Linked DNA regions of Neodiprion lecontei. The protein of the gene in region 1 purifies or fractionates together with the protein of each later gene. This does not show direct contact. Links are inferred from orthologs where the notes say so. Each region holds a gene or a part of one and is shown on either strand. Other genes may lie near its edges.

What was found.
Region 2: the proteins of CCAAT/enhancer-binding protein (region 1) and mRNA turnover protein 4 homolog purify together in Homo sapiens (affinity purification with mass spectrometry; 3 studies listed by BioGRID and IntAct, with this or other methods). This does not show direct contact. The link is inferred for Neodiprion lecontei from reciprocal best matches to the Homo sapiens genes CEBPA and MRTO4.

The regions. Positions count from the first base shown.
Region 1 is NC_060262.1:42,523,300-42,529,682, forward strand, and holds CCAAT/enhancer-binding protein, read right to left. Parts: upstream 4,775-6,383; 5' UTR 3,849-4,774; coding exon 2,715-3,848; 3' UTR 820-2,714; downstream 1-819. UniProt on the Homo sapiens protein: Transcription factor that coordinates proliferation arrest and the differentiation of myeloid progenitors, adipocytes, hepatocytes, and cells of the lung and the placenta.
Region 2 is NC_060261.1:34,236,387-34,240,369, reverse strand, and holds mRNA turnover protein 4 homolog, read right to left. Parts: upstream 2,245-3,983; 5' UTR 2,066-2,244; coding exon 2,038-2,065; intron 1,838-2,037; coding exon 1,533-1,837; intron 1,429-1,532; coding exon 1,192-1,428; intron 903-1,191; coding exon 750-902; 3' UTR 691-749; downstream 1-690. UniProt on the Homo sapiens protein: Component of the ribosome assembly machinery. Nuclear paralog of the ribosomal protein P0, it binds pre-60S subunits at an early stage of assembly in the nucleolus, and is replaced by P0 in cytoplasmic pre-60S subunits and mature 80S ribosomes.

The DNA.
Region 1 (6,383 bases):
CGAACGTACGTTGTACGTGCAGTGTTTGAAATTAGAAAATCACTCGACGTGGTTAATTTTGACGAAGGATAATACGGAATGCGTTGATTGGGTATGGCAAAGAATTATATGCGGAATATTGTATGAGTAAAAAAAGGCGTTATAAATTTTATATCAAAATATATTTGTGCATATAGACAATTATCAGATAAATATCTATATATGATATACATATATATGTAAATATACATATTTATATATAAGTATTACATATATATGTATGTGTATAATAGACAACCGTACACCGTAATCCGGTTAATCTCGGCGCATAAATATCATATACGTTGTGAATATACGTAAATACACAATGCATGCTTAAAACGTACGGTGTAGAATTTGTATACATATACATGTATGTATATATATGTATGTATATATATATATATGTATACTATTTATTATACGCACGCATTCACAACGAATATGTCTCTTTACATTATTGTTACATAAAATAAAATATCTCAATCGCTCTCTTCCTATCTCTCGCACAATCAACCGAATGAACAAATGAACAAATGAAGCCTGCTTCACACGTTACGGTAACTCAATAACTAGACCGCGTTTGAGCCAACGTTTATTGTTGTACATGTGAGTATACTATATACACGATACTGCAGACGATGGCTCAAACACATGTCTAAATAAAATACGTTGTTACGATAAGTATATATTTTCAATAATAATATTAAATTCTCTAATGAAAATACGTATTAAACTTTCTATACATTACATAGTTAAAATTATTTTACGCTTAACATACGTATATATTAAATATACATATACATATTTAATATATATTTTTGTATTTCATATGCATATGTTTATGATTATAATACAACAGGTTATTATGGGATGCGGATAACAGACATATAGTACAGTGTCGGATCGGGGGCTTAAGATAAAACTGCTTAATTATAAATACATTAAATTTCTATCGATAGAGCTAGTACAGCATATTCGGTAACTATTATTTACGACAGTGATGGTAATAATATTAATATTAACAATAATAATAATAATAATAATAAGAATAATAATAATAATAATAATAACGATGATGATGATGATGATAATATGTATCAGTAGTAGTAACAATAACAACAACAACAACAACAAATATATATGTCGTTATTGTTATTAGCGTATGATAATATCTACGATCATAATTAACAGTTACACATCAAACATAATGATTACGATTCTTATACAACTTATAATAATGACGATAATCGCAATTTAGCAGAATCTCATACGTAACGACGGACCTATGTGTACATGAATTGCTTGGTGTTTTCCGGCGTATCGGTGTGAATTTATGATATACAGTATAGGATGATGTGACTGCATATATAAATGTCAAACAAATGATCATGTCGACGGGGCATTTACGAAAAAGTGTGTAATGATAATAATAATAATAATAATAACAATAATAATTGATATAACAATATTATATCTATCAATAATCATAATAACGTAATAATCGTACGTAATCACAACGCCATGAACGGAATATACAACGATGTAAATTTGTTACAATACATGAATATATATATATATATATGTATGTATGTATAAAAATTGAACCGTTGAACCAAGTATCTTCGCGCAGAGACGACCCGATCTTACGGGACGTTTACTTTCTTTTTTTTTCTAACGTAAGATTAAAGTGGATATAGGTTATAAAACCAAGGTAAGAAATGAATATTACGGGCTGCTGGCAGCGGTCACGTTGCATCGATATTCCGCACGACCGTTTGACAACCCCACCGTTGATACGCGTATAAGTAATGGGTACACACACAGGCAATTTCATCTTGAGTATAGAAGACTGCAGTATGTACCTATGATAGAATGGCGGTTCTGTAATAATCAAATGAAAGCGGAGAAGGCCGTCGTCGCCAGTTTTCAATGCCCACGCAACTAGATTGATATACCAGGTAGGTAGGTAGGTAGGTAGGTAGGTAGGTAGGTAAGTAGGTAGATAGGTACAGGCTCACGGGAACTGTGTAGGTGACGATGCCCCATTCACGCATATACACGTAATTATGTGGGTAGATATGCATAATAATGAAATGTATGTACAATTGCAATACCACAATTATACTGCACAATTATACCCCACAGCATTCATATTGTACATTCAACGTATACGCGCGTACCACGAGGATTCTGTGAAGCGTTCGGTCAATCGAGAGTGGTTAACGCGAAACATGGTATCACCTAAACAGATTCAACTTTGCCTGCCTCACCTGCGAATCCTTTCGGTTCACGCGAACTGTTCGCCGGGTCGTAATGCACACGCAATACATGGACGAGGAAGCTCGTATACCTGTAGTACATACAGTCATGGCCGTCGTAGTAGGTGTATAAATAATGTAACTGTTCTTCGTTAAATCACTGTACATATACATATACGACTATACGATTGTTCGTTTAGCAATTTTCGCTTATTATTACATGAATATGCCGCAGTTATTGACCGACGACCGTGCGTAACGGTAAACGTGGGTGTCGCGCGACGAATCGGGCCCAATTTCCTGCAGCTCTATTCCTCGGAGTCTCCTCGAATAGCTACTCGTTCCCTGGGGACGGCGGAGCGAAGAAGCCGGAGCTCGAGGGCCGAAGCAACGAGCTTTGCATGGGATTTGACGGGAGGATCGCGGGAGCCGCTGCTACATGGGCCCGACAGCGTGCTGTTGGAACTGATCGAGATGCCTCGAGATCTCGCGCTGTAGCTGCTCAGGTACCACGCCGACGCTGCTGAAGAGCGACCTGAGGACGCTCAGCTCTTCGGTAAGGAGTTCGATCCTCTTTTTGAGGAGGTCGTTGTCTTTGACGAGTAGTTTCACCTTCTCCTCGGTCTCCCTCGAACGGACCTTAGCCTTCTCGCGGCTCTTCCTCACCGCAATGTTGTTCCGCTCCCTGCGACGCCGGTACTCGTCGCTCGCTTTGTCGATGCTCTTTGACTGTTTCCTCGCCGCTGCCGCGGCCGCGGCGGCCGCAGCATGCTGAGGGTGCTGGTGCTGGTGTTGGTGCTGGTGCTGATGGGGGTGGGGGTGCTGGTGCTGGTGCTGGTGCGACATGACGGGTTTCATGGGGACCCGCGGCTGCTGGTGACCCCCGGGGACCGTGCTGGGCGTCAAGGTCGTGAAGGTCGGCCCCCCGTTCGCGAAGGGACCGGCGCCGTTCGCCGGGCTGTAGGCGCCGGCACCTGCGGGGTACTGAGGGCAGTGACGCCGATAGTCGGCGGGGTCGAGGGGCTCTTCCTTTATGCTGGGGGACTCGGAACTCGAGCTGTTGCTGTCGCTGCAGCTGTTGCTCCCTTGGTGATAGCTCGCGCCGCTGTGTACGGGCTGCGGCATGTAGGCGAGCGTCGTTCGCCCTGGGAACCCGGCGTTTCGCGAGTGCTTCATTCCGTTGGAACCTGGGCCTCCGCCTCCGCCGCCGCCGCCGCCGCTGGCGTTATTCCCGTTCCCGTTACCGCCCCCCAACATGTCGAGGAGTCCATCGTTGAAGTGTGAATCGTCGATCAGATGCTGAAGATCGAGCGATATCTCGGGTGTGTTGAGGTCCGTCAGTTCGCCCGCTGCCGCGCAGTGCTCGGCGTACTGCTGGTTGAGGGTCGCCTTGCTCGCCGACACCTTGTTAACCCCCGTTCCGCCCGTGCCGCCGGACTGCTGGTTGTGGTTCACTTGAAGGGCCGAGTTGTTGTTCAACACTTGGGAGGATTTCTTAAGGTCCGCCGGAACACCTTGGGACTGCGCCTGATGCGCAGCTGATTCGTACATCACCGGTGATTCCATCATTGACAGACTATTCGAACTTCACCGATCTTCACTCCCGCATAATACCGCGGACTCAAACTCTTCCAAGTCTCTTCTCGTACGCCGATGCGGAACGCACGGCCTGCTACTTTTCTCCCTCCTTGTTATATATACGTATAAATGTATAACACATAAAAGCCCGGTAACTTTCAAATTAACAAACTGTCACTTTATCAAAATTCTTGAAAACCTCGAGTATGCGGTGGGATGTTCACTTGCGTATGTGCGCGCAATATCGGTATACAATAGTTCGCACGTATACTTTCTTGTTGTACTGACGAAAAAAACCCTCCTCACCCCACGGCAAAGATTCACCATGTATACCTGACGTATCCGCTCCTCGCTGCACACTGTTCATCCACCGAATATCTTACACGCGAGTATCTCGGTCGTGTTCGACGACGACCCGCCTCCGCGATAATGTCAGTCGTAGGAGGGAGGCGTAGGCCAGGCTCATTCACGCGCGTCTCACAAGAATTAGCCCGCGTATTACGTGTTTGTTATTAAATTGCCCGGAGTTGAGGAACACGTGTGAGTTATTGCCCCCGGCGATGAGTCTGTTATCTAGAGCCAACGGTACGGGTACATTTCGCTCTTCGGTTGCTTTCAATTTCATCGGATAAGTGTCCGCGCGTATGTATTTTTATAACTCTACTCTCGCGCTCTTTTAATGTTCCTTTATTTTTAACTCCTCTCCTCGTTCGCGTATATAATATACATAACAGGGAGAAGCGTCGCACGAAACCTGACTTCTTTATTCTTATTTTTTTTTTTTTTTTATCAACAGCGCCAACGGAGTCCGCAACGTGTAGAACCACGAGATAAAACTCACGCACGATTCGAGAGTTGGCGCGCGACTGAATACCGTGGTAACATGGCGCAAGGTTTCAATGCGCTCAAACAGCGCGCAACTTCTCGGCGCAGCCTTTGGCTCCCCGAGTTCTCGCCTCTCTCCGCGTCGAGTCCCAGCCCCCCACCCCGTTCCCCTGCCCGCCCCCTTCGCCTCTTCGCCCATGCGGGCAGCCCTCTCTCCCGCGATCCGCGCCGAGCGGGAAAAGTTTGCAGTCGCCTTTATTGTACGCTATTTATAATACTCGACAAAATCCACTTGATGCCTGCTTGCCTGCCTGACTGCCTGCCTGCCAAATCAGCCGAGTCAGCCAGATGTCAACGAAATCGCCCTGCGACACTGCACCGATACTGCTGCGTTCCACAATTTGACGACAATCGATCGGACTAGCCGCTGCTGCGATCAGCAATAATTATCACGACTGTCGAACTCGACCCTGTCGTGAACGTGGTATGCCTGGTATTAGATGGGTTGCATTCGAGATCGCGTGCCCGGTATACCGTCGCGTAAAAATTTTGCCTCGATTACGCTGAGAGTACTCGAGGTTTTAAATTCGGCCTGTTCTTACGATTATAGAAGCTGCAAACGCCACGGCCGAACTTTTTGTGCCGCTCAGGGAAGTTTTCAACTACGGGTGTAACGACGCAGAGTAGAACGATAGACGGGAAGATCGTTGTTGACGAATTTTCATTGCAAAAGGGTTGACGCTGATTATGCACTAAGATTATACTAATATGTAGCGTCATTGCGCAAGTCTGTTGTACCTACTCTATACTCTAAAGTGACATATATTCAAATGTATAAGTAGATATGTAATAGGTACACTAAGGTTACAGGCAGTGTTTATTCAAAGCATTTGCTACTCCACGAGGCACAGCATGTTAGTACCCACTATACGGGTAGACCTAATCGAATTCTTTGTAATATACCTATATTACACCCCAATACGACGTATATGTCGTACGAACCTTATTATACAGTTAATTCGTATACGTACCCGCTTGCGTTCCATTGCGCAATTCTGTGATAAGTTCGGTTATGGACTGCAGTATCAATACCGCGCACGAGTGAGGAAAGACCCTCGGATTCGATCGCGTTTTACATAGATATCATAGATATACCTAGGTGTATATAAATCCCTATATATATATATCCCTGCGACTTGCAGAGATCAGTAGCGTGCAGGGAGATAGATTCCTCCTCGTCATCCGGCTCGTGCAGCGCAGCCCTTTGACAGCGCCGGCTAGAGATCTTCCTCTTTCGTCGGACTCCACCCTCACGTGGGCGGGACTCTGCACCCTCCGATAACACGCGATCAGCCGTCGCATCGGCGAGTCGAGGGACACGATCCAGCCCATTCCAAGGAAGCCACACCCACGGGGTGGCACGTCGGCACCCTGTAGCTACTTGCATTGTCTTCAAATGACGGATATTTCAGTCGCTACAGCACGATGAAGATAATGCTGATTGTAGGCAAACGGAGTTCAGCTATTGCGCACAGAGACGTTATATACCTATTTGTTGGTAGAGTGCAGTTACACGGTACACTTACTGGACCTAAGAACGTGCTCGGGCCTCCATGAAATGATTTATAAATACGACTTATCGATTATTCGCGAGAATGAATTTGTAGGAGGAGAAAAAAGAAAAAAAAAAAGTCGTCTGAC
Region 2 (3,983 bases), on another chromosome or scaffold:
TTCAGCTACACTACAAAAACTGTAGATTACTTGCTAAATAAAATTAGCCCGATACGTCGTTAGCTCATTGTGACTGGTGATTGCATTTCCGTTGTCCTCATTATCAGAAATGTCCCATGATTCTACAGAAGTAGTACTTCGTTTTTTATGATTATTTGCTGTGATTTTGAATGCCACTCTTTTAGAATTTTCACAACTAGATTTTGGAACAGTTCCATTCAGCCAATGATATATTATCTGTTGATTAACAAGATTAGATCCGATGATTTCTCACATTGGTATCAGAAATTGTAATAAAAAGTTTTTTCAAAGTTTTATACACATAAAAGGTACAATTTCGTTTAATTATTTCACTCACCCATGTCATACCGACGATCCAAAATATAGTGAATCCTAATATGCAACTCATTATTCATTGAATGAGTATGTACAATGTGTAAATATTGTGTATTATTTGGTAATAATATTTTTCATTAAATTTATCTTGATATTTGCACTGCTGACGAGAGATTTCAAAATCGTTTGTTTCTAATAACTGCATGCTTTTTTTTAGCAGGATTTCAAGGACTAGATTGTTTTGGAACATGCATGTTTCCTCGGCGCATTGCTGTCACTGATATTCTGGAATGTGAGATAAGAGAAAAGAATTGTAGGTTTTATTCACAAACTCAAGAAATGATAAACCGCAAAAATGGAAAAACAATTTTTTATTCAATATGTACATTTTTAGGTCATTTTTAATTCTGATTTCAGGTATCTGTTGTGTCTTCTGTTTCCATCTCTACATTGTCATCTTCATTATCATCGTTATCATCTGTAGCAATTGGCATGTATCCTTCACTCTTGACAAATACCCCAAGAGGCGTTAACTTGAATGTTGCTAATACCTTGCCAATGAGTTTCTGTAAGAAGGTACAAAAATAATGCTCCATACTGAATTCAGTAAATTGGTACTTTGTAAAGTATACACGTAATTCCACGAGAAATCTTTTGTGACATGCATGGGTGGATTTCAGTTTTTCTCAAATTTTGTATTGGATTTCATTCATGGAAAATTGAGGGAACTAGCATTAAAATTCCAGAAGAGCAAATTGAAAAAAAAAAGAGTACATAACCGAAGCCTTTGAGCTTTTTATAATGGAATTATCTATATACTTGAAAACATCTGCTAAACAAATACAAATGTTGTACCAGTATTCTGGCTTGTTCTGGAGTGAGTGTCTGGCCCTTTTTGCAAACTTCGTGATCCTTGAGCAATGTTACAACTCCCTTTTGAAGCGATGTGGGAAGTCCCAACTGCCTCAAATGTGGTTCTATACTGTGTGCAAACTCTGGCATCGGTCCCTCAGGTATTGTTATTGTCTCATTTGCAACAAAACCTGAGCGTGCATAATCCTCTTCACCATATTGTTCCATCCAGTCCAAGACCTGTCCCAAATAAAAAAACCTTTAAAAATACTGAAATAATTATATGATATATTTGCTTAATTCATTTATATATTTGTATATTGCCATTTTCATTAATCAAGTACCTCATCCTTAGGTCTGTTGGTGAAAAGGAGCCCACATTGGCCTTTGAGAGCGGCAGATAATTTGTGTATTTCATCTTCGACTTCTTCCTCGGGAGATTTGCCCAAGCCAAGCGCCATGATTTTGTTTTTACCAAAAAAGAACCTGCTATCCTTCCATTCAGCCCGGATGTCCTTAAGTTTGTTATTTCTCATGTTTTGAACGGAGAACAAAAAAATGCTGTTATACTTTGTTACACATTTACGGATGTCTTCGACGATCTGTTGTTTCAGAACCAGTCCCTTCTTGCTGGTCTTTGTAAGTGTGACTGAAAATTAAAACGAAAATTTATCATTTTTCAATAATTACAAGAACTTGTTAGTATTAGAGAATTTTTTATAATTCCAAATGCAAAATCAGTTACGACTATCAAGCATGTATATATCAAATTATAGGTTATGTGCAAATAATATCTGGACAACGGTTCAGATTTCACTTGTGCGATAGTGTTTGAGGTGATTTACGTACTTTTCTTGTCTCTTTTGGACTTCGGCATCTTTCACTTTCTGTTTTTTCAGACGGTCTGATTACTTTGAGGTACTATTTAAAAAACAAACCATGTGCTAGTAGCACCGGTTCGAATGTCACGCAGTAAACAGTCAGGAGGAAACGTGGACGCCATTTTGGTTACGTTGAATTCAACTTCACAATTAATTCATTTTTATTCAATTTGCAAGTGCATCGGTGAGGTATTGTGTATGTCAATAAAATTTTCGAAAATTACACAAGATGTTTATCGCACAAGGGTTGAAAACGGTGCGCGTATCGAATGAAGATAGGTTATGATCGATGGTAGGGGAAGTGTCTAATCGAACGTAGTCTAAAATGGCGGTTTCCGGCGGTGAGCGGCAGTGCACTCTGTGAGATCGTGTTAGACGGGAGTCGTTGAAATTCGCTGAAGCCTTGATTTTCCAGGCGACTTTCTGCATTCAAAAGGTGAGTTTTAACCAAAAATGTATCGAAACCGAATCCTCGCTAACCGGAGATTCCGTGCATACGATAGAAGTGTTAATTTTATGCTAAATGTGCGCAACGTCGTTTGCGGGCTGTGTGAACCCCGTAGCAACTAGAGATGATGGAAATTTTGGAAAGCGGCTTCCACATCGAATAAACGAGCAGCCATACAGATACTGACGTCGTGCGCCTATCACTAGGATAATCGAGCCAGTCAGTAATGACGGCATTTTTGATTTTCCGTGTCAAGTAGACGGGTTAAATCTTCCGGTTCGAGATCGTACCTAAAGAGTAAAGGCGATAGGCGTGAATGTAGCCGCGGAGGGTACGGCTCGAGTGACGCATTTAATAGGAGTGTCTCAGGCGCCAGGGGCGCCATTTTGCCATTTTGCCAGGTTGCCGGCGAAAAAAATGTCCAACTTTTTCACATGCATTTAACGTATCCCTGTCTGACAGTGCTCGGGCATTTCACCGTTTATCGACTGTCAGACTATCATTAACCACGTGCTACCGCCGTTCAATACCCGCATGTCAAACTGTCATATTTTACTCGTACTATGAGCGATCATTTTTTAAGAATTTAGCTCCTTATATGGTCATGAGAAATCGGAGATGTCCTTCTTCTATTTCCCTCTTTCTCGCCAACCGCTCGCACTTTTTTCTCCAATCCTCGATTCGTGTCCTCGGATTTTTAAATCTTCGTAATAAACGGTGTACCATCGTTGTCGTTTCGTCATACCTACTGTGCAATTATCCGCAGCCACACGTAGTTGTAGCTTGGTAGAAGTACGTCGCATACTTGACCGTGACAAACGCCTACGACTAGGCACGCCCTTTCTCTCATCCAGGTGGATCGCCTTATTACGTACTTTAATATCTCAATCCGGTCTTCAAACCTCCAACAGGCCTTGTTTCCCTTTCTTCCCAAACTGAACTTCATTTTTAGTTCAACTTTTACGATCATGTAACAGGAAAAAGTTTTAACGATCACACGAAAGGATATAGAATGAAAACTGCGACTAAATTAGTTCTCGTCAATTATGTCTACTGTGTCGGTAAATCTTACCGTGAGTTTACCTGTACGAGACTGATCAATAACAAATGGGAACTAATTAGCCCCGCTGTTATTGAAATCGATGGATTGGAATAGATATTATCCGCATCGCTACATGTGACTTAAATTCTCGTTGTAAATTCACAAATATGCGGCATTAAATCAATGTTCACTTACATGTCGCACCAAAGATCTATCGGATTCCTGGCAGATCAATCTTTGGCACAGGTCAACGTACGTACAGCACAATGTAACAAACAACGGTCAAAGAAATTCTTTGTTAGCTTCATAGAAGTTTAATTTTTATTTTATTTTTTTTATTCTCTCTATCCTCTCCAAGCGCACGCACCTGATTCTGGTTGGTTCGAATTTATTTGGTCAGAGAATCTATTCTCAATTACATGAC